4 linked regions of the Struthio camelus genome follow. The protein of the gene in region 2 purifies or fractionates together with the protein of the main gene of each other region. This does not show direct contact. Links are inferred from orthologs where the notes say so. Each region holds a gene or a part of one and is shown on either strand. Other genes may lie near its edges. The genes, in order: PPP1R12A, PPP1CB, CCDC85C and YLPM1.

Region 1 (6,902 bases), on a different chromosome or scaffold from region 2:
ATTGTGATACTTTTATTAAAAAATGGAAAACCAGAAAGCATACTGATAACAATACCATTGTTTATTCATTTTATTGATCATTTGCAGCATGGCACTAAATTAAATGAAAATATATACAAGCATAGATGCTATCTCTGCAAATGTTTACCTGGTTATCTTTACAGAAAGGTGGTCCTACTGGATTCATGTGCTACTATTTGTAGGCAGAAAATTACATATGCAATCATGTTTAATGCTATACATATACATACAAACAAAGGATTTTACAAAACATCTAGTACGTTGGATAGTCTGCTAGAGGTATAAAGCCTGGTAAAACTAGGCCTACTTCGTGTGCCCTTAAGTAGGACTCGGTTAACGTGCCGAAAAATTGCAAGTGACTCTTGTTAGCATACTCTTATTATTGCAAGTACACGTGCATATTTATGCAGTTATCCAACTGAATTTTATGATATTGTCTTGTAATCAAACCAAACAGTAATCACTGTCTTATGACAAATTTTTTACTCACTTTCAATATGATCTTCAAAGTGAGCCTTTAATATACAGGGTTTAGTCCTGCCCTCTGCACAGATGAATTTCACCACCACCCCCACCCCCACGCTTAGGCAGATAATTGGAAAAGAACATCGGGTTTCTATAGCAAATATTATTGGTAACTGTATATGTTTATCTCAATCAGTACTGAACCAGAAGCTGCAGAGGGCCTTATTTCCTCTCAGCTACTCTATTTTTACCGTGAAATCTAATGACATAAAACTGATGTGATAGAGTACAGAACATAGGCCAGTATGCCTTTGCTCCTGAAGTTAGAAACCTTTATGTCAGATAGGAGATAGCAAAAATAAGGAAATTAAAAACAAGTGTTAAGAATTATTATTATTACCCTTATTATTAATTTTTTCTTGCTGTAAAGTGTGGCTTAATTTTGTTGAATAAAGAGAACGTGAAAAACTCCAGAGATGAGCCAATTTACATGAAAGACATCTCTACTTTTTTGCTTAAGGAAGACCATATGCTTTCCTAGATCACATTCAAAGACTGTAAGTAGTTTACTAGAGAGCATACAGCAGTCAGGGAAAGGCATACATGTATATGTACACACACATGTACACACACACACACAGAGACACATATATATATATATTTATATTTATATATATATGGAATAATTGAATTCCAACTGGCTTAATTAAATTGCTGCCTAAATGAATGGTGTTGCTTGTGGGGTTGGTAGAAAGCCCCAGAGGTAACCCAACTCCCAAATGAGGTCCAACCGGAAAAAACGAAAAAGTCAAAGAAAAATAAAGTCTAGAATGTAGAACATACAAATAGCAGTAGCGTAAGGAAAGAGGATTTCCATATCCTTTCTGAAAAGATGGAGATTAATCAGTGGAAAATATTCTGAAGATAGGAATAGAAAGGAGGTATTAGACCTGGTCTTTAAAAACAGACCATCTGATACTTCAGAACAGAAAGGGATATGCATTTTATGCTAGAGAACATCTACGTTTCCCTATGAAGCCAAGGAGAGCCAGCTGAAAGGAGTTAAAGGAGAATCCATGACCAGAAAGAAAAAACTGAGCTAGAAGAATGAAGTCAAGGAGAGAGGACTGGAGCCTTGACAGAAACCTAAAAGATACTCCGCAACAGTGAAATTCCTGAGCGAGAGCGTTCTCAATGAGTGCCTATCAACTGGCTTCGAATTACTTGGCTACCAGTAAAGTACTTCATTTAAATATTTCTTTCTGAAATCACTGTATTACATTCTTCAGCTATTTTATTTCTTTGAAGAGTTAAATTTTCAGACAGACTATTGGGAGATGGAAAGACAGGAGGAGAGTGCTGGGGAGGGTATACTTAAAATAACTGAGACATCTGGCAGAAGAGGACTTAGCTCTTATCCTGCATTATGTTTTTCTGAGCTACAGTTTTCTGTTCCTTAGGAAATGGCACTGGATTGAGCGGCTGTGCCCAGGAAGTTTGCCCAAGAGGCCAAGACCACAGAAAGTGGCCCAAGTAGGCACAGATCCTCTCCTCAGAAGCGTACTGTCAGTAGACGCAGGCAAATAGCAGGCTGGTGACTGCCCAAATTGGGCCAATGCTACCAGAGCGGTGCTGAAGCACAACTCGATTCCTCGTGTTAGTAATAAACCCTGCGAATCCAGGGGCCTACACTGTATCTCTGAACATGCACGCATGTTGTCAAAGGGAATGTGTAAATAATGTGCTGAGTAATGGTTCATCTATCTATTTAGACTTCAGATCTTTCTTAAGCAAATCTTTCATCATGTCTACATGTTGTCTTTCAAATGTTCACAAGCACTTTGCGCCTGCAAATTTTCAGCGAATCGGATCTCACACATTGCTGTATGAGAAAATCTCACGGATATTATGCAAGAACCTCTGCATGAAATTCTTTTCCGAAAGGCATTAATCACACCAAATTGCTAGAGGTACATAAAGTAGCCTCACTACTACCACTTCTTGTGAAACACCACTGATATTCTAATAAATGAAAATAAGAAGCCAGAGTAGGCTATGAGACTGTCTACAGTAGGAAGAAAAAAGGAGACCTTGTAATTAAGAAACAACAAACCATGCAAAACTTGAAGTGTATGAGGTTTGGTGAACCTCTTAAACTATATTTTGCTTCCTATAATTAGTTGAAATTAAAACTTTTTTTCCAGTAAGTTTAAAACCACGTTTTATCCCCACAGATGATTCAATTTAAGACAAAATGTATATTTTTTTTAACCTAAAGAAAACATGCTATGCATGGAAAAAAATTAACTACCCATAACTTGGTTCCTGCAAGTTATAATTCTGAATAAATACTTCTGAGGCTTCTATCTTCAAAAGCTATATGCATTGTAACCACTTATTTTCCCCCAGCAGGAAGGATAGATATGCTGTCCCAAGGTTTTCAGAAAATGGAAGTGAAGCAGAAATTTGGTTTAGCTTAAACCAACGCTGCAACGGAGTTCTCATAAGCAGAAACCTCAGGGCAAAATTTGAGACTGGGCTTTCGTCTGTCAAGGTGCATCCTAACGGGGACAACTTTTAACATCCCAAATGGGGGCTCCTCAGCCCCTTGTCCTGTTTTTTTTCCTTCTTTCCTCACCGTGACTCCATTTCTTCTGCTTGCTAACACAGGCAGTAATGTGAGTATTGTTGCGTGTCACGGAGAGGGAAGAGTTTGCAAGGAAAGGTAGTATCTTTAATTAAACTGACACGGGCCAAAACACACACGCTTTCAGCCACAGGAACACGCAGAAGCTGCACGCTCGAGCCTTTTCGTTTCTTGGCCTTTATTTAAGGCTTGCATCAGATAATCTAATAAAATACATTATTGCCTGTCCTTATAAACTTTGCCCGGACGAAACATGACCTCGGTTACCATTCAGCGATGGCGCTTTTATTTGAATGCTCCTCATCGCTTGCATTTTTTCTGACCCGGTAATCAACAGACACCCAACAGGGGCGTCGCGGCAGGCGAGCGGGGCCGGGGCTGCGGCCGCCCCCGGCGCCAGCCCCGGGAAGGGGCGGCCGTTGGCGCGGCGGGGGGGGGGGGGCGAAGAGGGGGGAAGCTGTGTGCCACCGGGGGGCTCTGTCCGTCCCGCCCCGTCTCCCCGCCAGCCCCGGGGATTTCCTGCCCTCTCCGGCGGGGGCAAGGGAAGCCAGTGAGCCCCGAGGCTGAACTCTTGAACCCGCGGCCGCCATGAGGCGCAGCGGGGCAGCCCCGCCTCAGCCGCAACACAGACCGCTGCATCCCCCCCCCCCCAACCTCCCCCGGCCCGTGACGCCACACGCCCCGCCCCCGCGCCACTCTGTCCCCCCCAGCCCCGCCCCTCCAGCTCCTCGTCCTTCCCCGCCCTGAGGAAATCTCGCGGGATTATGCTAACGAGCCCGCCGCCGCCGCGCCTCCCCTCCCGCCCTGCGCCCTCCGCCTGGGTGAGCGAGCGAGCGAGCGAGCGAGCGAGGGTGAGCGCGGGCCGCGGTGCTCTGTGGGATACTGGCGGTATATAGTCTATCCTCGGTGCGGCGTTCGCGAAGGGGGCCAGGCGGGAGCGGGGTATGAAGATGGCGGACGCCAAGCAGAAGCGGAACGAGCAGTTGAAGCGCTGGATCGGCTCCGAGACCGACCTGGAACCGCCTGTGGTCAAGCGCAAAAAGACCAAGGTGAAGTTCGACGACGGCGCCGTCTTCCTGGCCGCCTGCTCCAGCGGGGACACCGAGGAGGTGCTGCGGCTGCTGGAGCGCGGCGCCGACATCAACTACGCCAATGTGGACGGGCTCACGGCGCTCCACCAGGTCGGTGCGGGGCCGCGGCCGTTGCCCGGCGGTGGGGGTGGGCGAGGTGGGAGGGGGCCCGGCCGCGCTGGCCGCAGCGTGAGGCGGGCGAGGCGAGGCCGCCCCGCGCTGCGCCCCTCCGGGAAGAGGAAGGGGGCGGCGGCGGCGGCTGCTCTCGGCTGCGCTGGGGGGTGGCGAGGCGGGGAGGGGCCGGAGCGCGGGGCGGGGGGCAGCGGGGTCCGGGGCGGCTGCGGCCGGCGGGAGGGGCCGTGCTGTGCCGTATCGTGCCGCGGGCCCGCTGCCCCCCAGCGCCGGCCGCGGGTCGGGAGAGGGGCCGAGCGGCCGAGGCCGGGCGTCGGAAGGGGGCGGTTGGGCCTCTCCCTTGGCGGGGAGGAGGCGCCGCCGCCGCCGACCCTCTTTCGCTTTCCCCGCTTCCCCCGTTGGCAGCGCCTCCCTCGGGAGGGGCGATGGGGGCGCGGGCCCGGCCCCCGTGGTGTCGCCGAGTGGGGGGGGACAGGTGGCCCGCGGCGGGGTGGGTGGTGTCCGGCAGGTGAGGGGGGCGGGCTCGCGGCGGGGGTCGCTTCGCCGCGCTGCCTCTGCCCCGGGGTTTCGGGAGCAGTTTCCTGCTTCCTCCGTTCCTGCGATTCCGCTGCCGTGTAGCTGATGGAACCCGCTCTTCTGTGCGCGAAAAGGCGGATCGCTTATTTCCCCCTGGTTTCTAAGGGGAACCAGTGTTTTGTTCCTAATATAGAAACGCGTATCAATAACAGGCTGGTTTTCTTTCTTTAGTGATGGCTTCTGCCGCAGTGTGAAAGCTGAACTTTCAGGGAAGCAGGGCTTTTACAGTTTTCTTTCGTGTACTGGAGAGGTGTAAAAACGAATCTATATTGCTTTGTTCCTCTGTGTGTGTTGGTGGGTTTTTTGTTTTGTTTTAGTGTGGTTTTTTTTTTGAGGGAGTACCGAGGGATAACTTTCGTTTGGGGCAGGGGGGAATGGAAAGGAAACTGGCTGTGAAGTTTCCTCAAAATGGATGCTTTGTGCATGTTGAACTTCATAGCAGTCTGATTGGAATCTCAAAACGTTAGCCAAATAAGGAAAGGCTGTGGCAATCCGGAGATAATGCGGGTTTGCCTGAACAGTTTTTGTTTCTTTAGCAGGCCAAAAGCTTCCCCAGAATATTAAATTTACTGGATATCAAAAAAAGCAAAAATAATTTTTGACAGGCCAACTTTTTGTTCTTAGGTTTAGAAGCTGTTCAGTAGTTTAGAAAAAAAACCTTGATGTCTGCAAGTTCTACATTGATCAGCTAGTAATGTTACCAACATGGTTAAGTGAAGTAATTAGGATGTTCTCACCATACTGTGGTTTTCTTGAACAAAAATGAGGTGCTGAATTTAATGTATTATATCTGTCTCATGTAGATTTTCAAGGATACAAAGTTCTACAGATATGTAAGTTGTTCCATAGTAGTGAAGATGCACTAGATAAAGCAAAAAGTAGTAAATCTTGCATCTTGTGTTCAGAATTGGGTTCTATTTCCTGTATATAAACTGTCACTTGCTGCCCTGTAAAAGATACTAGTTTACTGCTTGTTGTAAGTTGAACTGGAAGAATGAATGTATGTTGTGATTAAAAGTCTGTCAGAATGTTACTTGTTACAGCAAAGCTACCTAACTCAGACTAGTCTGTCACTTCATAGCAAGATTTTATATCTTTATACTTCTCTAAGCAATGATTGCTTCATGCTTCTAGGGAGCTCTGTATTAGAAGTCATACCTTAACTGGTTAGATCTCTGGATCTACAAGTTACTGAACTCTGTGATTGGTAGGAAAGGGTGACGTTAGGTTTAACTGTATTGTCAGAATAAAAGACTGATGATGATGTCTATAGTCATCAGTACTAGGTGGCACTTTCAAAACGTCTTTGGTGCGGTATACAACAAAGCTTTCAAGATAGTTGTGAAGTGACTCTATCTCTCCCCCCCCCCCTTTTTTTTTTTTTAAACCTGTGGTCAGTTTGCAGATTGGATGAGCAAAGTCCAAGGAACAGAGGAGATCTACATCACTGCAGAAACTCTAACTCTCTCTCGCTCTCTGATGCTGAAGAGACTTTTATGATCTTATGTAAAAAGAAAAAAAATCTATTGTGAAATGATAATTATTTTGAGGCAGCCCAATAAATGAGTGAATGTTGCCCGCTGCTCAAAAAAAACACAAAAGAATCCCCTGCCCGTAATCAGCACTGTATAGTTCTGCTTTACTATTATCAATGTATATTATATGGCATATTAGAATAGAATAATAGGTGCAAGTATTACATAATGAATTCATGTTATAGGCTGCATCTAATTAAGTTTGACTAGAGCATGGAACAAAGCTATAGTCTTTCGCCGACGAAACCTCTTCAAAAACACATCACTCTTGCTGATACTGTTTTGACTGACTAGTGTCAATAGTGTCAAAACCCCCGTTGTTGAGTTTGACTGTCACAGTTGCCTGTACAGTGCTGCTTGTGTGTGCCTCCTCCTTTTTTTTTCCCCCTTTGTCTGTCAAATCCCTTGTAGGTGTTATTGTTTTGCAGGAATATATTTGTCAGCAAGAATGAGGTT
Region 2 (7,985 bases):
ACCCATGGACGGTAAGATGATCCAAGTATGTAATTCTGATCAAAAGGCAAGTTAATGCGTCATATAACCTGAAATGCAAGTGGTCTTGAGCAATAAGGGTAAAAAACAGTTAGAGTAACCTAATTAAGTAAGAGCAAGGACTCATGACAGCTAGTATCACAGCCTAGAAACAGGTGTCCCCAACCAGCAACTCAAGGGCATTAAGGAAGCTTCCTGTCACTGCGGCTTTTGATATGCGTTTGCTACCCTTTGAAGTTTACAAGCAGCAGCAACTGAGAGACAATTGTAGACTGTTGTTTAAAGTCATCCATTTAACATTAAAAGAAGGACTAAATATATTGCATCCCAACATTTCATGAAAATGTATTTTGAATATATTAACGTGCACCTGTATACAGCTCAAAAGCTGCAATTCCTCACTATTTAAGCCAAAGCTGAAGTGAGGGGGAAAGCAGTCAAAAACTTATTTTAAATTAATTGCTCCAGAGCAAGGGTTGATAGAAATTTTTCCAGGTTGTTGGGGGGGGGGGGGAGGAGGGGGAGGGGTGCATACACTGACAGGAGCTTATACTCACTTTACCACAATAAGCCAGCTAAGCAACACCATGAACTCCAGAATGCTAGCCATCCAATTGTACAAAAAACTTCCCTGTGAAGACTAACATTTGGACCACAGCTTAAGCTATAATACACCAGCAGCACAGGAAATAAAAGATGTCAAATGCAAGCAAAGCAAATTCATATATAGTGTATGTATTCTTTTAATAGTTTCTCAAATACAACCTAGAAGAATCTATTCCCTTTCTGAGGCGATGAGATGTTGTAAGAGGCACTCCTATTAGTAGGTGACAAGCAGAGAAGACACATGTCCTGCTTTCCTTAAAAATCTTCCTAATCTCTGCTCAGAGAGAGAGAAACAGACTGAGAAACAGAGACACAGAATTATAAAGAAAGCTTGCTTAAAGCTATGTATGTGCAACTTCTGAAAGATTAAAGTAGTACAGAATAAAAAGTGCAGATTAGGTACTCTGTCATAGCTCAAAAATGTTAGAGATACAGCAACATAAAGCATTTATAGCATGTATGAAAAGCCAGGAATAAGTATTTCCAAACTCTTGCATTAAAAATAAATAAAGCAAGCAGTGTAGCATTTAAGATAACAGACAGTAGCCCAATACAAGTTGCATCCCGAAACACTGGAGAACTACCTATTCTTCAAGCAGTCTATATTTAAATAGCTACACAGATGAGCAAAGAGAAAAAGAGAGGGAACAGTACCCTTCAAAGATTTTTCAAATCTCCTTCTTTTTATAAGGACATACAGATATACGTACACATTTTGAAAGCCTGGGAAAAAAAGTATTAGGAACGCAGTATTTCCTAGGTTACTATGTGGTTTGTCTTGAAAAACTACCTTCATTACTAAGCTGGGTTTCAGGGTCCAGAAAAGTGAGGTTTATCAGTATCAGTGAACAGAGACACACTTTGCTAACTGATGATACCTGCAGGTGTTCTTTGCATTATACTACACTGCATATCTTTCTTAAAGTACAAACATGAGCACAACTGGCCAGAGCCTTATGTATTTTTAAAATACTGATTGTTAATCGTTTAAGTCAATTAGCAGTTTCACTTATAAAAAACATACGATTACCAAAAAGCCACAAAAACTCTGCAGTAACTCAGTTAAACAAAACATTCAGACTTTTTCCTCTCCCAGAACTGCATATGCTTCTTAAACTACTTTCTGAAAGCCTTCTGCTAAGTGATCCGAATATTCAAACACAGCAACCAAATAAGTGGATAATCGTCTCCACCATACTAGGTATTTGTCGAACACGGAATGGAAGACTAACGTGAGGAGAGGTCTGAGACCAGATACTCGAGACATCATTTACACAGAGGAAAAACGTTAGGAATAATTCCTCAGCTTCTCCATAAACTGGAAGGCAGCTAGTTTTCTCCTTATTTTAAAGGAAAGCATGACTGTTTAACACACACACAAAACCCCTCGTAGCTACTAGTCTTGTAAGAGACTAGACTCAGAGCTATCCAGGCACCCGAGAGCAACCTCTGGAGACTGGCCCATAGGCAGGCAGGCAGAGTAACACTCAATCCCTCTGCTTCCCCCGACACCCACACACACGCAACTCCACACCTAATCTTGCTTAGGCATATAATTTTACGCACGGAGGACTAGGAGTATCCTCGCTGAGGAAGGAAAGGAAAAGGCCGCCAACGAGGCTGCCCTAGCTCCCCCCTCACCGGGGCGGCTGCCGCGTGGGAAGAGCGCTTGCAAAGCTTTTTAAAAAATAAAAATAAAAGAAAACAAGAAAGAAAGAAAAGAAAAGAAAAGCCGCCACTTCACCTAGAGCGGGGAGGGCTCCCCCCTCACCCCAGCGCGCCGAGGATGCTTAAAACCCTCTTCCTCCCCTCCCCTCCGAGGGCCCCGAGCCTGGCCCGGCCGCGCCGAGCCCGCTCTCCGCCGCCCCCCGGGGCCGGGTGCGGGGGAGGCGCTGCCGCTGCCCCCGCCGCGGGGCCGCCCCGCCCGCTCCCCCCGCCCCGCGGGCAAGCGGCGGCAGCGGCTCCCCCTGGTGGCGCCGCCACCCGCGCCCCGCGGAGGGCGCAGGCCCGGCGGGCGCCCCGCTCACCTTCCAGCAGGCGGGTGATGAGGCTGTCCACGTTCAGCTCCCCGTCCGCCATTTTGTGGCCACCAGGCTCGGTCCCAGGCGGGGAGAGGGAGGAGCGGAGGGCGCTTCACAGAGGAGGAGCGGGGCGCGCGGGCGGCGGCGAAGACAAGTGGCTTCCCCCCCCCCTCCTCCTCCTCCGACGGTCCCCTGGGGCCGCCCGGCTTCTCCCGCGCTGGCACCCGAAAGCGCCGCTCCCGCTCCCTCAGCGCTAAATGGGGGGGGAAGCGCCTACCCCTCCTCCCCGCGCCTCCTCCCCGCCTCTGAGGCCGCCAGGGCGCATGCGCCTCCTCACCCCTCCCGCCGCCCCGCGCGCCAGCCACCGCGCAGGCGCAGAACGGGCGCGCGGGGGGGGGGTCGGCCAGTGCGCACGCGCGTAGCGTCACAGTCCCTCCCCCCCCTCTCCCCGCCTGCCCGTGGGTTTCCTAGTAACCGGCGGGCGCGCGCCGTGGCCGTTGAGGGTCGGTTGCCGGCCGGCTGCGGTGAAGCAGTGCCCGAGGGTGCGCACGGGCAGACGCGGTCCTCCTCCACCGCTGTCTGGGCTGCCCAGCAGCCCAAGGCAGGCCTCGCCGACCTGCTCCCCCTGGCTCTCGGTCGGCCGCCGTCCGTCCCGTGCAAAGAGCAGGGCGGGGTGGCCTTTCCTGTCAGGGTGCCGGCAGCAGGCCGCCCTGTGGGGGTTAGCCAGCCTCGCCGGCTGCCTCCCAACTGGGTATCCGCTCCGAAGATGTTCTAACGGCTGTAGGGATATTTGGTGCTCCTTGTGATGCCCCACCTCCCCGTGACATGTTACTGCAGGAGAATGTGCTTTACTTTATGCGGAGGTTATGTTTCCAGGCATCAATTACAGGGAGGGAGGAAAAGAAAAAAGCCAAGAAAATGAGTCCTAGTGGGCTGCGTGTAACCTGTGTATCACCCCTTCTGCTGCTGAAACTGCGCCTGTGAAAGCTCACAGTTTATTTTTAAAGAAGTCCATCAGAACTGGAATGATAAGTTGTGCTCTTTGTAGCCACGTTTTAACACAGTTGTCAGGAAGAATCTCCTAACTAATACGGTTTATATTTCATTGTGGCTGGAACTGCTAAAAGTACTTTTTTTTTTTTCTGAAAGAGCATTTCTGAATGATTTCTGAAACCTTTTTTTTTTTTTTTAAGAGGAGTGCTCAAGAGCATGTTAGAGTGCATGCTCTTGTCAATAGATGCTTGCCTAGATGGACAGAATCTAAAAAACAGTTGATGAAAGCTGCTTGTGAACTGGAACAGCAGATTGAAATGTATGCATGCTGACAAAATATAGCCAGCCATCCCTTTTGCCAAAGACATTGCAGATGTTCTAGAAAAATCAGGCCACTTATTTATCTGCCTAAATATAGATGTTGATATAGAAACATCTATCTGAGCTCAAATTCGAATTTTTCCATTGACCTATACAAGCCAGCAAAATCCTCTCAGCTAAAATAATTTCAAAACCTAGTTTTTACTTCATGATTAGGACAAGATGTATATGAGCAAAATGTAAGTAATTAGGACAAGGCGAGACAATGATTAGGCGTCAGATGATGCTAGGTGGCCAGACAGTCCGGTAGTAGAATGCTCTTTTGAAATACATAGGCAATAATAAAGTTTTGCTGGATACATTGAAGGAAGAGGAAGAACCTCTGGAAAAAAAAAAAAGAAAGATGTTGCATCCCCATTTGTAGGTAGCATCTATGAAAATGTAATTCCAGCTCATCTGCTGAAACTATATTCTTTTTTATTTTTCAATTTTTCCCAGTAGTGAAAATCTAAATAATGCTTTAAATCTTTCCTTCATTTTTTTGTCAAACTAAGAAAAGTAATTATTCAGCTTTACAAGGGTATTCTTGATATTAGCTATTTTATTGCTGCCAAATTTAATAGATAGGCAGTCCCTCTTGAGTTTTTAAGAATTGTCCCAATTTCATTTCACATAACCAAAACTGCCCTGAAAGTTATTTTAAGCCAACACAAATTCAGGTATAATAATATTATATAGTCATAGAACATTCTGCATTGACAACAGAATGAGAATATGCAATGATCTTTCACTATGGCATAAAGATACAATTTCTTTGTCTCCAAAAACTCCAGAAGATATTAAACTTCGAGATATGTTGAGCAAAACATAATCCCATAATAACTGTTTTTACTAAGCATGTCAGCATGTTCCAGAAACAACTCGGTGGCATATCATAATATCAAAATAATTTAATAAGCAGAGATGCTGTGGAACAGAACACACTGCACAAGGGTTGAAAAAAATAGCTTATTTTTTCCTTTCTGGATTCTGTACCAGTCTCTTAGTTAATTTTACCCTATCACATCATGCCCTTGCGTTCTTGAGGGACTCTGGTAAATACATTAAGTTTGGTTTTCTACTCTATTTCACTGCTTTTCAGTTTTCTCCATATTCTGGAGTGAATGAGGCGTGGCATTATGCTGGGTCATAGGATGAGGAGAGATTGCTCACGCTACTCAAGATACTGGAGGAATGAAACTTCAGGACTCCGTTCAGTTCCTGCCACTGCTGGATCTCAGCTCTCATACCCCGCCAAGGCTTCTTTCCTTCTCCAGTAACTCATGGAATAGGAGCTTTGCTGGATCACAGAGTTCTTCCCCTGCTGTATTTGGATCATGAAAAGGGAGGGTGGCCACCACACTGTGCTGCGTAACTCTGTGTAGTCTGCCCCAACGTGCTTCGGAGCTTGAGCAGGGAAAGGAGTATGAGAGTCTCTTAGCGAATAAAACTCGACAGACCTTGCGTTCTATAATGACATAATTCCATTACAACAAATAGAATTAAAAGATCAGAGAATGAGGCCTGTTTTCTCCTGTGATTCAGAAAGAAATATTTAATGTGGACTGAATGCATTTTCTTTGATCAAGCAGAAATGTTAAGTAATTTTTGACATAATAGCATACACAGATACAGACCAAAGATATCTAAGTGGTGATTTAAGTAGCAGGAGAAGCTTGAACGTTGCTGATGCCTTTGGCAAACTCTCCTAAATAATGCTCATCTTTCTAAACTTCCTTTCAGTTATTTTGAAATTTCCTCTTGTGTCCACAAACATGGCTTTGCTTCTAACTTTCCCCCGCTCAGTCTCAGTGCCATTTACCCTAAATACCCTGTGTGTCAACTCTCCTCTCCTTACCCACCTGCTGTCTTGAGGTGTGCTTTAATTTGCAGTGGCGTTCTGTAGCATTTTCAAGACTTGAAGGACAGAGATTTCCAAAGGTGGTAAAAAATTGTATGTTAGTGTCATTCTCAAAAATGGGGCTCTCAGAACGAGTTCTCACTTGCTCTGCTATCAAGGCTGTTGCATCCTCAACTACAGAACACGGTTTCAGTATCTCTGATGTTATCTGCTCTTTCCTAGTAACCTTACATTGCTTCAGCCGGTATGTCCCATTACTAATGGCACCGACTACATGCTCTTTTAAGTTACTTGCTGTGCCATTGTAACTGCGTTTTTCAAAAATCATGGCCCCAGCTACATTGCCCTCCTAGCTCTGTCATGAATTATCTTACAGAAAACACACAGCAGCACTTTACAGCGTTATTCAAGCACTATGGCTTGCTTCTAAACTGTTGTATCACTTTTGCTGAGTGTATCTTAGGGCTGACTACAGCTTTTACGCAGATGGGAGGAGGAAGCAGGGAGAAGCAATATGGCCTGTGGTTAGTTTTCCGGCATGTAATTAGGAGCATGTTCTCACTGGGCAGTGGTAGCTGGAGCAGTGCTTCCTTCTCAGTCTCTGTGTTTGTCCAGTAACCAAGCCACTGCAAGCGGATTTTGAGCACCTAGCTCAGTTTCCCACTTGATTTAGTAATCAGAATCAGCAAAAAAGCTGTGTACTTCCTTAGGACAATTTATGTACACAATGTTCACGGACGTTTCTTTGGACAGAAATGGTAAGAAACTGCATCAAGGTAATCTCAGAATATGCAAAGACTGCAGATGAATTATCACTATTTTCTTCCAAAAGTTTAGATTCAGAGACAAGTGCAGAAAACCAATCAGATTCTGCTCTTTAGCATTCTGTGTCTCTTTTTTCTTGCTCAGTATTTGCACTAAAGCTGGGTAGATAATAGGTTTCTTTATATATTCAGAAAGCTTTTTAAAAAAATATTACTGCTCCAGACTGAGCTGAAACAGAGATTTTATCAAGTTTCCTGAGAAATTAGAGAGGAAGGAAAACAAACCCAAAATAACCAGTGGTTTGAATTTGCAGGCAGTTACCTAGGATGTGAGAAACTCTTCTCTGAACTGTTGCATCCTAGGCAGGTCTCCCGTTATCCCTTTTTGAACTGCCACACTTGGTATAAATAGCTCAATACCTGTTGGAGCGAGGACCTGAGTTTGGATCTGTTATGCATCAGATGCATGCCGTAATCATTCAGCTATAGTGCTGATCCATCTCTCTTGATGTAGCTGTTACAGTTTGTATAAATAATTAAATATTAATAGAACAAAAGAGAGGCTATTATTAAAGTAATACACTGCAAATATTCTACTTACATTTTACACTTACTCTTTCCACTTCAAACAGCTAATAGGAAACTCAGATGCAGATGCTCCAGATTCTTGTCATACATTTGCTCATGATTACCTCGGCAACTTTAGTGAGCTCTCAGCTTTAATTCCCACATTTATAAATGCCAATAATAACACATGCGAACCTCTTCAATAACACATGCGAACCTCTTCAAGGAGTCAAGAGCCATAACTGAATTATTTGAAAAACGTTACGAGATCTTCAGTTGATATACAAATTTGTCTACTATAATCATCATAGCTTCAGTCATGATATTTTTTGGAGAAGAAGAATTTTTTGTAAGTTAGCACTACTCCTTGATTCCTGTGAATGCCATATGTCCTGTTTGCCTTTAAAGCATACTCCAAAGGCGGGGTAGGTCTAGACGTTACATTATTTTCTCTTGAATTAAAACAAGAAAAGAGACTGTTGCTGTCAAGGATCAGCAAGGAAAAAGTTGAAAAAAATAGAATGAAAATTCAACCCAGTGAATATCATTTAAGAAAGTCTCATGCTGAAAAGAGCAGCTACCCCTGCCCTGTCCCAGTACTTCTCAAACAGGTTGTAGAAACGCACCACCTTGAAGACATGGTAGAGAGTTTCCCAGGAACCCCATAGAAACCAGGACAAGGTAAGGTGTATACCGTGGTACATATCACAGATTACATCATCTGTCAGCGTCAGAACTATTTAAAAGTGTGAAGATTTTTTTTTAATTATTTTTATTAGCATATGATACAATCTC
Region 3 (7,086 bases), on a different chromosome or scaffold from region 2:
AAGTTTTCTGGATCAGCAATTTTCAGCCTGGACAAACAGGCAATTTCTTTGCAAATATACTGATAGAGAAGCACAAAGTAGTGGATGAAAGGAGTGACAATCTACTGTCATGCCCCTGTCACAGGACTGTGTCCTATGGCTGAGCCAACACAGCATGGCCAGCACATCACATCAGCAGGCCAGGAGTTACTTTTTGAGCAGGGACATGGACTAAGTGGTGAGGAATTGGGAACAGAAGATCCTCTCCTCTCAGGCTCCAGGATGTGCAGGGCAACACAGGGTGACCTAGCAACTACAGCACTTGGGCTCACTCCTTCCTATGCTGCCTTGGAAAAGCAAAGTCATGTGACACTCCCACTAAAGTTTCTCCTTCTCCTCAAGAACGAGTGGGTTTTGCAAGAGCCACCCCTCTCAGGTGGCTAAGCAACAACGCAGATCCAAATGGTGGAAGCGCTTTCTGTAATTCTAACGCAGCCCTGTAGAGGGAATGCTTTGGTAAGACTTAAATGATGTTATATATCACTATACAATATCAAGGATCAAATGCATTCTGTGTCACCTGCTGAGTTCAGGCGTTATCATCAAGAGGAATTTTGTCCAGTATTTTTTTTTCCTAAAATTCTTATCATGCTTTAAACTTTCACTCCTGATTAAAGAGGGTGAAAGTGTCCATTTGATTCAATGATTGACGCTGTATTACATGGGAATAAAAAGATTAAGATAACATGCATATTAAAAGTGCTTTGCACTCACTGCCTGCAGAAGTGGCCATGACCAAATGTAACAGATCAAATCTGTAGCATGTTATGAACTTCTGTTACTCTTCATCTTAAACTGGCACAGGAGAATCATAATTCCTTCCAAACAACACTGAGAAATAGGGCTTGTTAACGGTAAATAAAAAAGCAGAAGCCCATCAAAAATACTCCAATATTGTGTATTATTTGTGTTGATTAAATATCTGCTTGAAATACATAATTTGTTTTTGAGCGTAACATTGCACTATACACATATATAATCCAGGCCACAGACACTTTCTGATCCTACCAAGCTTTACACATCTGCGCTAACACTGCTGCCTCACACTTCGAAGCTAAAGAGGTTTTTCTCTACTGCAATGCAATAGCCACCTCGGAGGGAAGGTCACAGAGTGAATAGGTGAGGCATGATGGCCACCTGATTCGTGCCTCATTCACTCAGACCTGTTAACCCTGGCCCTCTCTGTTCGTTCCTGACAGATGACTGTTTCACCGCATATTTGTCAGGATCAGATGTCATCGGGGCAGACAGCAGATCTTTTCGTGCAGTTTCAATGCCACCTCCAGAGCACATCCGAGCCTGAATGCCCAAACGCAGCAGGTCCAAAGCTCACGGGGCACAACAGTGACCGCAAATCCCTCGTGGATAGTGGCAGGCTGGATCTGTGCCCTTTAACTTTAAGAGCATAGACATACCCATTCAGTCTGGAAAGCAAGTCTTAATCATCACAGTGACTTCCTCTGTGGATATTAATAATCTCATCACTTCCTTTTTGGAGCCCCCCTATCTGCTGGGTTCCTTCCTTGCAGAGGTATCAATGGTGCTCAAACTTCATAAAGTTTCAGCTAGAAAAAACACCTCTTCTTGGGAAAAAAGATCGAGCAAACACAAGGCAGACACTGCCTGGGCCAAGCACCTCTAAGGTGTAGCTACACAGCTACACCTGAATTGGTGGTGCGGTGGCCAGAGGGTTCTCCGCCCCTGCTGCCTACTCGGCTCCTCCTTCCCCGCTAGGCACCGGCTGGGGATCTGCTAGTCAAATCACCGCATGGGAGGGTCTGGGAGAAGCACTTTCTGCTTCCTGTAGGGAAGGATGTGATTAAAGCCTTGTAAATAAAAGACTTGGCTTAGAAAACACTTGAATGCCTTCTAGACATGATGCAACCCTGAGCTGCAGCAGTGCACCGCACTGCAAAGGGTGTTATCTTCCAACAGCCTGGCTCAGCGGGGCATGAAGCAGGAGACTTGGCACGGTCTAATTTTGTACCGATTCGATTGTGGCCACTTGGTGACCATGGCCACTTTATGCAAAAATCAAGTATATTTATATCCGAGACCTGTTAGAGGGAAGTAGAAGCAGACCTCCATTTCAGGCAAGGCCTCACCACTCTTCTGTACAATGGCATGACTACCCCCTCCTTTCTAGGGAATTACCTTGATTTGTGTACGTGCTAGGGAGAATTGTCTTCCTCCCATTTTAACAATATCTGTAATGTATGTTACCAGAGAGCACCTGCATATCCCACCTGACGTGAACTGGTGGCTGCTCTCTATCCCAAGCTCCTGTTACCCTTACGATCTGGGATAAAAGCCACTTTGGGAGAGGAGGGGGGCCAACAATGTCCATGGAGAGGGTAAACTCCACCAGAAATGGAGAAGTCCTGCTGTTTTACTTTAGTGGGGAACTGGCAGTTGTCTTATATTGCCACGGATATTTCTCAGTTCAGAAACCAATGACTACAGATTCGCACAGAAAAGCATGCAGGAAACTGCAGCTTTACTGACTTAGATTTAGGAAGATAACACCACCAGGCAAAGGTTGCAATTCCCCACCCTTCTCGGGACTGATGTCCCTTCTATGCCTAGGCCATGTGTTCTGCATCCCATGCTCTGGCATCATATGTGATGTTTGTTTTTTGCTAGAGGGTGTCTTGAGTAGCTTTAAGTGTGGTCAGAAATCTGAGATTGCACTGAGTTAACCTTAGAGTCAAATCATTTATTGAGGTTCCTTGGGAACAGAAAGATGGCGATTCCCTAGGGCTTTGTAAGGATCCTCAGTAGGAAATAGCTGGCAGCACGTCTCTGTCCTGGTGCATGTTTCATTTTTACAATGTGGTATCGGTCAAAAGCAGCCTAGAGAGAGAGAGAGTGAAGTCCAAGCAAATGTGCATTAGACTAAAAGTCAGGGGATGTGATGCAAGGATATAGGAAATCTGCCCACATATTGCCTGGGAAATCTCCTTTAACGCAGTGAACTTTCTGGGCCCTTTCCCGGGCTCTGTGCACAGAAGCCACCCTGCCATGCCTGCTCCTGAGCAGACCCCTCGGTAAAGACCATGAAAAGCTGGGCAGGTTTGAGTGAGGAATAAGAAGCACGGGTGCCTCAGAGGCTGTTTGCTCCTGCATCCCCGCACGGTGTCGGAAGGAACACAGCTCTCCCGGGAGCAGAGCGGGCAGCCTGGGGCGGTTCTGCCAGCCTGCAGGCTGCGGCCGAGGCAGGAGGGGACGCGGGCACAAAGGCGGCTCCGGGGGGGACGGGGAGCGGAGCGCGGCGTGCCGCGCCGCAGCCCGGGGCGCAGCGGGGCCGGGGCAGCGGCGCGGCTGGAGGAACAAAGCCCGGCGCGGCGGGGCGGCGGCCGTGCCCGCACCCCCGGGCAACGCCGCCCGCTCCCGGCCCGGCCCCGCCGCCTGCCCCGGACGCTCCGGGGCTGCTCGTTACACAGCGCGGCCGGGTCGGACCGAACCGGGCCGGGCCGGGCCGGGCGGCGAGCTCCTTTTCCTGCCATTCAACCCCACCCTTCTCCCGACTGGTGCTCCCTCCGCGCACACGGCTGGGGGCGGCGGCGGGGGGGTGGGAGGAAGCAGGGCAAGGAAAAAAAGGTGGATGAAAAGAAAACAAAAAACGGTGTGGAAGAAGGGGGGGGCTCAGCGGCGGAGAGCAGCGCGGCGGCGGGAGGCGGGCGCGGCCCTTCCCTTTGTACCTGCCGTTTGAAGGCGCCTGGCGGCCCCGCATTGGCTGCGGCGGCCGCGGCCCCGGCAACCCGAGCCGGCGGCGGCGAGCGGCGCACCGGGGTCCGGCCAGCGCCCGGCCCGGCCCGCCCCCGGCAGCCAATGGGGCAGCGGGGGAGGGCCGGGGCCGCGAGCCGAGCCGAGCCGAGCCGAGCCGAGCCGAGCCGAGCCGCCGGCAGCAGCGCCCGCCGCGCCCGCTCGCCTGCTCGCCGCTCGGGCAGGGCCGCGCCGCGCCGCGCCGCGCCTCCCGGCCCGCCAGGAGGTGGGACCAGCCCGGCCCTGCCGCCCGTCTCCTCCTTCCCGAGGGCTGAGCCATTCCGGGAGGGCTCCGGCTCCTCGCACCGCTCCTCGGCAGCGCCGCACGCCGCGGGCGCGGACAGCCGCCGCCGCTGCACCGGGCTCGGCCCCACGTCTCCGTGCGGGCCGGGCCGTGCCGTGCCGTGCCGGGCGAGGTGGGCTCCGCCGGAGCGGATTGATGGTGCGGTTTCTCTGCGCGCATTTGCCGGGGAGCGGCGGGCTGGGGGGGGCGGCGGAACAAGTGGCAGGAGCGAATTGGGGGCGGGGGCCGGCCGCCGCGTAGTTGTTTTGCCCGGGGTAAGTTGACCGATTGCTGTTGGAGGCTTCATTCCGTGGGCTGCAGCGCTTCCCTCCTGATTCACTGCCACCCCGAGCCCCGTTTGGGGGAGGGCGTGTGCGTGGTTTTTTGTTCGTTCTTGGTCCCCCCCTCCACCTCCGGATTGCTTTTTTATTATGGGGTCTGCGGGAGAGCAGATCACCCAGAGTGGCGTTGCTGTTTTCCCTTGCCCAGCGCTCTGTGGAGAACTATAGTATTTCTTCCCCAAGATGCTGCGGTAAATTTTAGTCCCAGGAGATCAGGCGAACAAAATAATCCAAATAACCCGGACCATTTGTTACTGTTTAAGAACAAACGCTCTCTAGGCACAGATGATGGCAAAAAATTCCCTGGAAGGGTCTAAAGAAGACCTGAGCAAAATTTCAGAAGAGGAAATGCTGAGGTGGAGCAAGGAAGAGCTAGTGAAAAGACTGAGGAAAGTGGAGAATGAAAAGATGAACTTAATGGTGGAACACGGCAACTTAATGAAGGATGTGAACCGGCGGCTGCAGCTCCACCTGCACGAGATCCGCGGGCTGAAGGAGGTGAACCAGAAGTTGCAGGACGATAACCAGGAGCTGAGGGAGCTCTGCTGCTTCCTGGACGACGACAGGCAGAAAGGCAAGAAGCTGTCGAGGGAATGGCAGCGGTTCGGGAGGCACACGGCCAGCGTGATGTGGAAGGAGGTGGGCATGTACCAGCAGAAGCTGAAGGACCTGGAGGCAAGGCAGGAGACCCTGCTGAGGGAGAACGTGGAGCTGAAGGAGATGGTGCTCATGCTGGACGAGGAGCGGAGTGGGGCTGGTTCGCGGAGCTCCATTGACAGCCAGGCCAGCCTCACCAACCTCAATGGTGGGTCGGGCACCAGGGACGTGGGGGACGGGAGCAGCACCTCCAGCACAGGCAGTGCAGGAAGCCCCGACCACCATCATCACCACCTCCACCACCACAAGCCTGGCGACAGCAAGGCTGGGGCCATGCGAAGGTCTATGGATGACCTGTCTGCGCCCCTTCACCACCGGAGCATACCCAACGGCCTCAACGGTGAGCGTTTCCCCAACCTCCCCCCTCCTCACTCCCCTTGCAGCAGGTGCAACCAACTTTGCCCTCTGCCGTGTGCTGATCTCTCCATCCCCCCTTGTCAGTGGGATGAGAGATGCCTGGGGGGCTGTGTCCAAGCCGTTCCCATCCCCTGCAGTCCTTGGTGACCGCAAGGGCTTTGGAAGAGCAGTCAAGGCAGCTGGGGGGACTGGGTAGGTGCACCCATGTGCGGGGCGGTGGCGGTGCTCACCTGGTGCAGAGGCAAGCGACTCTGCAGTGCCTGCACTGAGGGCAGTCTCCTTGGCTACATTACTGATCTCTGGGGTTGAGGGATGAAGGCTTTTTTATCTGGAGGGTTTCTGGGGGGGTTTTTTTGCCTTTTTTTTTTTTTAATGGCAGGCTGAGCCTGTATTTTCAGAGTTACATAGACATTGATTTCTTCCTCTCCTTCTCCTCTCCCCGTTAAAGATTTTGTTTTATATTTGGCTTGTTTACCAGCTAGTTTCATGAGACTGATTAAAGCCTGTATGAGATTTTGGAAGCAATTGATTAAAGTCTGGGTCTGCCACATAAAGCATCACCTGTTAGCTCCCTGGGCTCTCAGGACAGGCTGGCTGTTGCATGCTGAACAATTTTGGCTAGGTGAAACTTGGCTTCCCCGCACTCCCCATCAGAAATAGGAGCTTTGTTCGTAGCAAAGAGATTGCTCTCGAAGGGACATTCATAATTTTGTTCAGCCTAGTCGTTAAAGTTAGAAACAAGCTCCATTGTGAAATCATGCCAAGCCTTCTCTGGCACTGTATAGTCCAGCAAAGTTTCTCCTAGTGTCATAATACTGATCAGGCATTAAAATAATAATATTGGATTATCCCAGAATGTCTTTAAAATGGAGATTTTTTTTCTTTTAAAAAGGTGAAGAGGGGAAATCTGGAAACCAACAAGATTTCAAATTTGACATTTAAAAGGAGTAGTTTGGAAGAGCGGGTTAGCAGGAATCAAACCAAGTACCAGTCTAAATCCTTAGATATGACTCCTGGAATTTCAGCCTTCTTAAGCCCTTTTTCCAACCAGAGGGAAGTAGTCTTTAGTCAGGGATACACATCTCCCTCCTCCAAGCACAGAAACTGCCCCCTCAGTCCTGTCAGCCAGCCAGCAGGGATGGAGAGCCCGGGAGATTGACTCTGACTGATTTTCGGCTCTGGCTTGCACCGCAGGAGAGGCCACTGAATGTCTAAAGGGAGAGAAGATGAGAGGGCAGGCGGGGCGCTGGGGAGGAGAGCAGCTGGATGTGACTGCCAAGTAGTGCTTTCTTCAGTTCCCAGAGCTTTCAGTAGTCTTGGCGGGACCAAGGAGTGCTGGTCCTAGTCTTGGTGATTTATGGCAAGTCCTCAGTGCCCCAGGAGATCTGAGGCCACGCAGCACTGATCAGCCCGGTGGTGTGTTCATGGATGAATTTGCCATGCTTGGTTTGGCTGCCGCAGCTGTATTTCCCCGCTCATGGCTGGAGACATTGCAGCCACCTAATCCAGTGGACAGCGTTGCTGGTTTAAACAGTGATCCCCAGTCAGCAGAGGTTGCAGGATACAGCAGGCATCGTTAAAAATGTGTTTCCTTCTCTCCCTCTGCTAGTGTTTTATTAATTGGAAATAACCTGTTTGTTAATT
Region 4 (7,226 bases), on a different chromosome or scaffold from region 2:
AGTATTTCCCTGCTTAGCTTTTAAAAACATTGGTAAGAATGCATCACTAAGCTTTGGTTTTGCTCTTCCTGTTGTGTTAAGGATCAGCTGCTCAAAGCCATGTTTCATATTACAGCCAAAGACGGACAAAATCCTATCAATCTTTCACAAGAAATAGATCGCCAAAGTACCACAGGCCTTTTGAACTAACACTAAATCGGCATGAGAGTCAACAAACAACTTAAGTTGTATGCATAGACATTCATAAACCAGAAAATGTAAACTTAGGAGATGCTTTTCAGCTACTATTCTGTTTCCTCTGTGCGCGCAGGACAATATTGCATTAATTGCGATTATTCTGGGGAGAAGAGAATGGCTGAGGAACAAATATATACTATGAAAAAAGTTCTAAACATTCATGAAATTTCAGGCTAGTTCATGATGAATATCTGTAAAGGAGTAGAATCACAGTTTACTGTTTATTCTTGAGTTTAACAATTTAAGAATTCAGCAAGCAGCCTCAACACTGAATTAACATCACTTTCTACTTCAGATTTCTCAAGCTTTTAGTTTTGTCATCAAAAAAACCGAATGAGTTCCATTGCGCTCGCTGTAAAAGATCAAATGGTACCCTCAAAAACAGCTCAAAGGTGTAAACTCAAAAAAAAGATAATATTTGCATATGTATTTGCACAATAGTATGGATATAATTTAAAAGGTGTTCCAGAGACTAAGCACTTTAAAATGTCTGTGATTTCAAAATGATGCTATGGGGTTTTTACAAACTTAGATTCAAATCGGAATCCTAGGATCAAGATGCCAAAAATATGTGTATTTTAAACTTACAAAGTCTGTTAACTTTTCAAAACATGCACTTCACCTTTGTTCTTGCAACCGGATCTCTACAAGCCAACTTCAAAATCATGCAAAAGCCTCAAGGCATCCAAATCAGCTGTGTGTACAGCTTAGGACCTCAACATGCATGCTTCTGTGCAGGCTTTATCTAAAGCAACTGGATTATCCCTAACTTAATGAATATGAACGGTAACATCAAGTTCAGCAGAACTACTCACATTTAGGAAGTTAAGCATGTGAATATTTGCAGACCTTTTGGCCCTAGTGTACCCACAAAAGTACACAGCATTAACAATAAAAAACGTAGTTTTCACCTCAAAAGCATTTCAGACTATTTCCCTCAAAGCCCCTTAAAAGTTTACACAAGAAGATAACACTCAAACACAGGTAGCTCAAAACGTACTCCCAAAAAGTTTAAGTAAAAAGCAGCCAGACACTACAGTAGAAACACTTCTGCAGTTTTATCTGTGTCTGGTAAAATCGGCGTTTGCAATACTATACCAGTCACTAGGTCGATAATCAACTGAAATACGATCACAAGAGAAAAAGTAAGTGAAGGAGTCACTGTAAACAAGAGGCGCTGATGCTGCAGCATGCAATAGGTGAATGAACTGCTGCATCTTTAAAAAAGATGCAAAAGATGCAACTGTTGCATCCTTAGAAAGATGCAGCAAGACTTCAGTGCAGTCCACCTACGTGCAAGGCTTGGGGAAAACAATTCTCCAGCGACTATCAAAGTCAGCAAGAAAATGAAACGCAACCAGGACTTAGACTGGTTCTCCGCCTAAGTCACTCGCGCCTGAGACCTGACCATCCGTTACACCCCTCAAGACACCACAGGCCGAAAAGGCATTTAGGGAGCCTGGCCTGACCCGTGCCGTTCCCGGACTTCTGAGCGCTCCGGCCGAACCATGCAACTATCAGGCGAACGGGACGCGCGCGTTCCGGCCTCGCTCGCAGCCCGCGGCCGCCGCCCCGCGCTGCGCCGCCCCCGGCCCCGGCCCCGGCCCCGGCCCCGGGCGGACACCGCCGCCGCCGCCCGCCTCTCACCTGCGCGGTCATGGTGGCAGGGTCCGGCTGCGGGGCGCCGTGCGGCTCGGCGCCGGCCCCCGCCTCCTTGGCGGCGCTCGGCGCCGTCTCCTGCGGGCCGGCAGCCGGCAGGGGCAGGGAGCCCTGCGGCGCAGCGAAGTGGGGCTGAGGCGGCTTCGGCTGCGGCAGGGCGGGCGGCGGCTGGGAGGGCGAGCCCTGCGAGGGCAGCAGGTAGGGCTGCGGGGCCGCGGCGTAGGCGGCGGCCGGCGGCAGGTAGGGCTGGGCGGCGGTGGCCGGCGGCGGCTCCAGGTAGGAGGGGGGCGGCTCGGAGAAGTTGGGGGGCGGCTGGGAGGCCTGCGCCCGCGGCACGTAGGGCTGCTGCAGCGGCGGCGGCGACTGGGCCGGCGGCGGCTGGGAGGGCGGCAGGTAGGAGGGCTCGGCCTGCGGCGGCGGCAGGTAGGCCTGCGCGGGGGGCAGGTAGGCCGGGGCGGCGGGCTGCGGCGACTGCGGCGGCGACGACAGCTCCATGTCCATGGGCACCGGCGACGAGGGCACGGGCTCGCCCCACTCGCCGTGGCCCGGCGGCGCCTCCTGGCCGTCGCGCTCCCGGGCGGCGGGCGGCTTGCGGGCCGGCGGCGGCGGCTCGCGGTGGGCGAACTGCTTCTGGTAGCTGCGCACCGGCGGCGGCACGGGCGGCGGCGGCTGCTGCTGCTGCCACTCGGCGAAGGAGCCGGGCAGCGGCGGCGGCGGCAGCCCCGGTGGCGGCGGCCCCGGCGGCGGCGGCGGCCCCAGCAGCACGGACTGCAGCTGCTTCTGGTGCATCTGCTGGAGCTGCTGGAGCTGCGCCAGGTGCTGCTCCTGCAGGCTGAGGAAGCCCGAGGTGCCGGCCGGCGGCGGCCCGGTGGCGGCGGCGGTCCCGGCGGCGGGGGGCGCGGGGCCCGGCGGCGGGTAGCTGGGCAGCGGCATCGGCGGGACGGCGGGAGGCGGCACGCTGGGAGGCGGGATGGGCAGCGGCGGAGGCGGGATGGAGGTGGGCGGCGGCGGGTAGTGCCCCGCCGCCCCGTACAAGCCCCAGGCCGGGTACATGGCGGGGGCAGCGGCCGGCCGGAGCGGAGCGGTGCGCGGCGCTTCCACAGGCCGCGGCGGCGGCGGCGCGTGCGGGCCACGGCGCCTGCGCGGGGAGGCGTGCCCGCCCTCCAGGGCAGTAGAGGCGTGCGCGCGGTGCTAGAGCGCCAGCCGGCGCTGCTCGGGAGACTCGGAGCCTGCGCGGCGCCCCCTAACGGGCAGCCGCCGCTACTGCGGGCGGGCGCGAGCACGGCAGTAGGGCACATAGAGGGGGGAGGAGGCGAGTCTAGAGCGCCGCTTAAGCACTTCCCCCCTCACCCCAATCGGCTTAGACAAAAGAGAGGAAGACAACAACCACAAACAGAGAGGCGCTAGAGCGTCGCTCCAAGGGAGGCTTTGGGGCTCCATTTTGTTCGAGCCGGGTAGGAGCAGGCGGGCGCCCGTTGGGTCCTACCGCCAGCCCGGCTCGCGCCGGTGCTCGGGGCTGGCGCGGCCCCGCTGCGGCCGCCGAGGGGCGACCGGCGCTGGGGGCCGCCGCCGCCGCCGCTTGGCCCCGCGGCCCGGGGACTCGGTCAGCCCGGCGAGGGCCATGTTTCCGTGCCCGCCCCGCTCCGTCGGCGGCTGCCGCCCGCCGCCCTGGCTCCACCCCGTTACGGGGAAAACCGTGATTATGAACCGCCCTGCGATGCCAGTGCTAATTGCTTTAGCGGATGGAGGGGGGCGATGGCGACTGCTAAAAACCGAGCTGGGTGAGGCCCTCGGAAAGCGACTCAAACCCTCAGAAGGGTCCTTCAGCCTTGTAAATGATGGTCCTGGGCCACCCGCGGGGGGATTGGTGCGGCTATAGATAATCCAGCACCTAAAACGACACAAGTATTTTCACTTCATTTTCAGTGAAGAGCAAGGTGATAAATCTGGGTGGCAAAAATGGAGCGAGTGATGGTGAAAAGGATGTGTAAAATTGCCTCATCCCTTACAGAAGCAATTAGACTGAGGAGCAGGAGAGATTTTTCCTGTGTTTCTCCCTCCCCACGCTTAAGTATGAGTCAAACACATCGGTATGCTCTGTAGCCAGTTAGCAAAGAGTTGTGTGAAGTGCTGAACTTGTGTTGTAGAGAAAATTTTGCCAGGGCTTATTAAATTTGAATTCTGTCAGCTGGACAGTGAAGCTTAGTGGCTGTTGTTTTGGTCAGAATTGCAGCTGCATTGCGCTGTCTTGCCGCTTGCCATCCTTCCCAAAATGAAGAGAATTTGTGCAACGGTTCTGATGTTCAATCTCCAGTTCACTGCTGGAAAATCAAGGATCTGTGGCCAGTGGGAAGAGACAGGTGTTGGAGGCAAAGGCAACGATAGATGGCCAGGTACAGAAAAAAGCTCTGTCCTCTCCGGCAGAAAAGCTAGACTTTGTATTCATTTCTTGTTAAATCCCAGGGAATCCAAAGCGGTGACACGCGATACAAACATGAACCCATAAGAAAAGCTTCAAGAAGAGCCGACACGCAATTTATAAAACACAAGTCTTTAGGAAAACCACCTTCATTAATTCAATACACCCAGAACTATTTTTTAAATTATTTAGTATCCTTTTCTGTCTAGAGCGCTTCCCAGTAAGATTTCTCTTACAGTGAATATGAATTCCAGATAGCGTTTGCACTTCCAGATCCCTCCCAAAATCCTACCCTTGACATTTACGTCCCCAAGCCCTTTGGGCCAGTTTGCTCACTGGTTAAGCTTTTGAAAGTCCTTTTTCCAAAAGAGGACCGTTACAAACATCCTTTGATTTATGCTGATTGACTGACTCAGAATGAGTTTTTTTGTGATCATTTCATTCAAGATTATTTCCTAAAGTCAGGTCTCTCGCAATATTCTTGCTCTTTGCTGTGGTTGATCAGTACAGTGAAGAAATCTGTTACTTCTCTTATGAAGAAATATTTGTACTCAATCATTTTGCAAGTGTTGTCCAAACTCTCTCTAGGAGACCAAAATTAGGTTTAGGTTCCAGTAACTTGACAGAGGTTAACATCAATACCCAAATCTGTTGATGGAGATAGGGGTGTTGACTCCTCCCGGACCAAGATACATTTATTCCTTTACTCAACATTACCTTGCCCCGAAGCCATCCTGTTTTATCCACGTTATGCCTTCTTGTTCTTTTACAGTCTATGACATCATTAATGTATGTCAACCTGCTATTTTTAGTTCATTTTTTAAAATAGCTCATACTCTTGGACGCTTCCTGCTTCTAATTGCTGTTCCGCTACAATTCAGCTATCCCTGGATTATCTAGTGTCATAGCTGGGATTAGCACTTCATTTCTTCATTGAATTTCTTCATTTGCTGATAACATTTAATACACTATAATTATGGTGCAGCAATTTTGTATTTCTGGGTCCCTTCCCCCCCCCAAGGAATAGAAATGCTTTTGTCCCTTCCACTGCCTAACTTACTTTGAGTATCGGGCTTGCTTTGGCTATTTTTGTCCGCAGGTTTAAACCAACTGCCAGACTTGGGTCAGGAAGGAATTTCTCTTCTGATTGGGACTAACAGAGCTCTGCAGTTGTAGGAACATCCGGACATTCTCATTTACCAAACTCCTTGCCATTATTCAGATCATGATCTTTCCTCCTTGAAATATTGTAATCTGAGGTTGGAATGCTGTGGTGTGCACAGAGTAAATACTTTCCTCTGAACCAAGCGTTTGGTACATGGGTTCCCTAAGACTGCAGGGCACGGCCCTGACGACCCGGGTGGTCCTTCCCGGTTCTTTTTGTTAATACCCACACTTCTCAGTGTTGTCTGGCTGATTTTACTCATTTTAGGAGTAAACTTTTCATTAAATACATGGCCTTCCTGGTGGTTTCAATCACTGTTAACACTTTCTCCCTGCTGCTTATCCTCCAACCAGGTTATATTTCTTATCAATTGCCTTATGCCTATTCTAGCCTCCTCCTTCTGTTACTAAAACAAGCAGGACAGACTTGGGTACGTCCTTTACGCCTTAAATTAAAGCTTCTTGTAAATAAGCATATTTGCCTTGATTCCTATATGCAGTTCATGCTCCATACGTATATTTGGGTGAAGTCCATCCAATAAGGATGTTTTTTTGTGTGAATGTCTACCAGTAGTCAAACATTCCCAAAAGTCATCACTTTGCTTTGCCCGTATCCTCTTTTCCAGAGCCAGAAAGACTTCCATCAAATATTACCACGGGAAGCCATTTCTTTCTTCTCAAGTCTCCTTCAAGTTAGGTTAACTCAAATGAAGCTTGCACAGAGGTAACTCTAGTTAGCTCTGCCCTGAAGAAGTCTCTTAAATTTAGAATTATTCTGAAAATTCAGCTACACAGATCTAATCCTAGATCTGAGTCCTTGTTTGACCATGCATAGTCTTTAAGTGTTCATGATAATACTTAAATTTAGCTTAAAGAAATGTGACTTGGATAGACAGGAGAAAATTTGGGTTTTTTTTTTTTGAAGTGTGCAATTACACACCAATAGTCAAATCTCAAAGATAAAACTTCCAACTGTGATAGCTTGAAAGGGGCTCATGCATTTTGAAAGTGTCAGTATGCTGTATTTCAGGGATGAGTTTACTGCAGAGGTGAGCCTGCAGGAAACAACGACATAGTGTGAGGGGCAAGTCTGATGCGTTCTCAAAATTTCCTGTAACATCTGTAGAAGCAGGGTGTTTGCAATTATTGGCATGTTGGAGCATTGCCCAAAGACAGGAAATGATTAATGGAGGAGAGGCATTATCTTCACTGTATGCTGCCTGGCATGCAGAGGTTTGAGTCCAGCTATTCTCTACAGTTTGGACCAGTGTAACGCATCACAGGATAAAAGCTCTATTAAAGTTTGGAAATTTTCTTAACTATACCAAGAATATCAATTCTCAGTCCCCCATTTATCACAGCTCAACTCCTGCACTTTGGCCAGGAAGCACTCTATGGCATCTTGGCCCCATGACCCTCATTTTCTCTCTTGCCTCCCAGTCTTAAAACAATTGTCCTCCCCCCAGAGAGGCAGAGATCGGCAGACGGCCTACAAATTAACGAGCTACAGAGAAGATATGAGAACGCAGAACATGCCTTGGGGAGAACAGATATGACATAGCTTTGAAACATTTTTTCTACGTTTCTCCATGCAGTTTCATCATTCCTTTTCTGTCGCTCCTCTGACGACTTTCTTCCCATGTTACTGCAAATGCTCAGGGTTTCTGCGAGACAGTTTTATTCTCAGCCATTGCTCTGATTCCCCCCTAAGTATTCTGCTCCCAGCCCACATTAATACCTTTCACAG

What was found.
Region 1: the proteins of PPP1CB (region 2) and PPP1R12A purify together in Homo sapiens (affinity purification with mass spectrometry; 6 studies listed by BioGRID and IntAct, with this or other methods). This does not show direct contact. The link is inferred for Struthio camelus from reciprocal best matches to the Homo sapiens genes PPP1CB and PPP1R12A.
Region 3: the proteins of PPP1CB (region 2) and CCDC85C purify together in Homo sapiens (affinity purification with mass spectrometry; 3 studies listed by BioGRID and IntAct, with this or other methods). This does not show direct contact. The link is inferred for Struthio camelus from reciprocal best matches to the Homo sapiens genes PPP1CB and CCDC85C.
Region 4: the proteins of PPP1CB (region 2) and YLPM1 purify together in Homo sapiens (affinity purification with mass spectrometry; 3 studies listed by BioGRID and IntAct, with this or other methods). This does not show direct contact. The link is inferred for Struthio camelus from reciprocal best matches to the Homo sapiens genes PPP1CB and YLPM1.

What each region holds. Positions count from the first base shown.
Region 1 is NC_090942.1:45,370,551-45,377,452, reverse strand, and holds the start of PPP1R12A (protein phosphatase 1 regulatory subunit 12A), read left to right. Parts: upstream 1-3,886; 5' UTR 3,887-4,077; coding exon 4,078-4,314; intron 4,315-6,902. UniProt on the Homo sapiens protein: Key regulator of protein phosphatase 1C (PPP1C). Mediates binding to myosin. As part of the PPP1C complex, involved in dephosphorylation of PLK1. Capable of inhibiting HIF1AN-dependent suppression of HIF1A activity.
Region 2 is NC_090944.1:108,069,884-108,077,868, reverse strand, and holds the start of PPP1CB (serine/threonine-protein phosphatase PP1-beta catalytic subunit), read right to left. Parts: upstream 3,004-7,985; 5' UTR 2,704-3,003; coding exon 2,652-2,703; intron 1-2,651. UniProt on the Homo sapiens protein: Protein phosphatase that associates with over 200 regulatory proteins to form highly specific holoenzymes which dephosphorylate hundreds of biological targets.
Region 3 is NC_090946.1:69,741,431-69,748,516, reverse strand, and holds the start of CCDC85C (coiled-coil domain-containing protein 85C), read left to right. Parts: upstream 1-4,084; 5' UTR 4,085-4,246; exon of another isoform or gene 4,247-4,691; 5' UTR 4,692-4,713; coding exon 4,714-5,425; intron 5,426-7,086. UniProt on the Homo sapiens protein: May play a role in cell-cell adhesion and epithelium development through its interaction with proteins of the beta-catenin family. May play an important role in cortical development, especially in the maintenance of radial glia.
Region 4 is NC_090946.1:57,712,971-57,720,196, reverse strand, and holds the start of YLPM1 (YLP motif-containing protein 1), read right to left. Parts: upstream 3,006-7,226; 5' UTR 2,950-3,005; coding exon 1,885-2,949; intron 1-1,884. UniProt on the Homo sapiens protein: Plays a role in the reduction of telomerase activity during differentiation of embryonic stem cells by binding to the core promoter of TERT and controlling its down-regulation.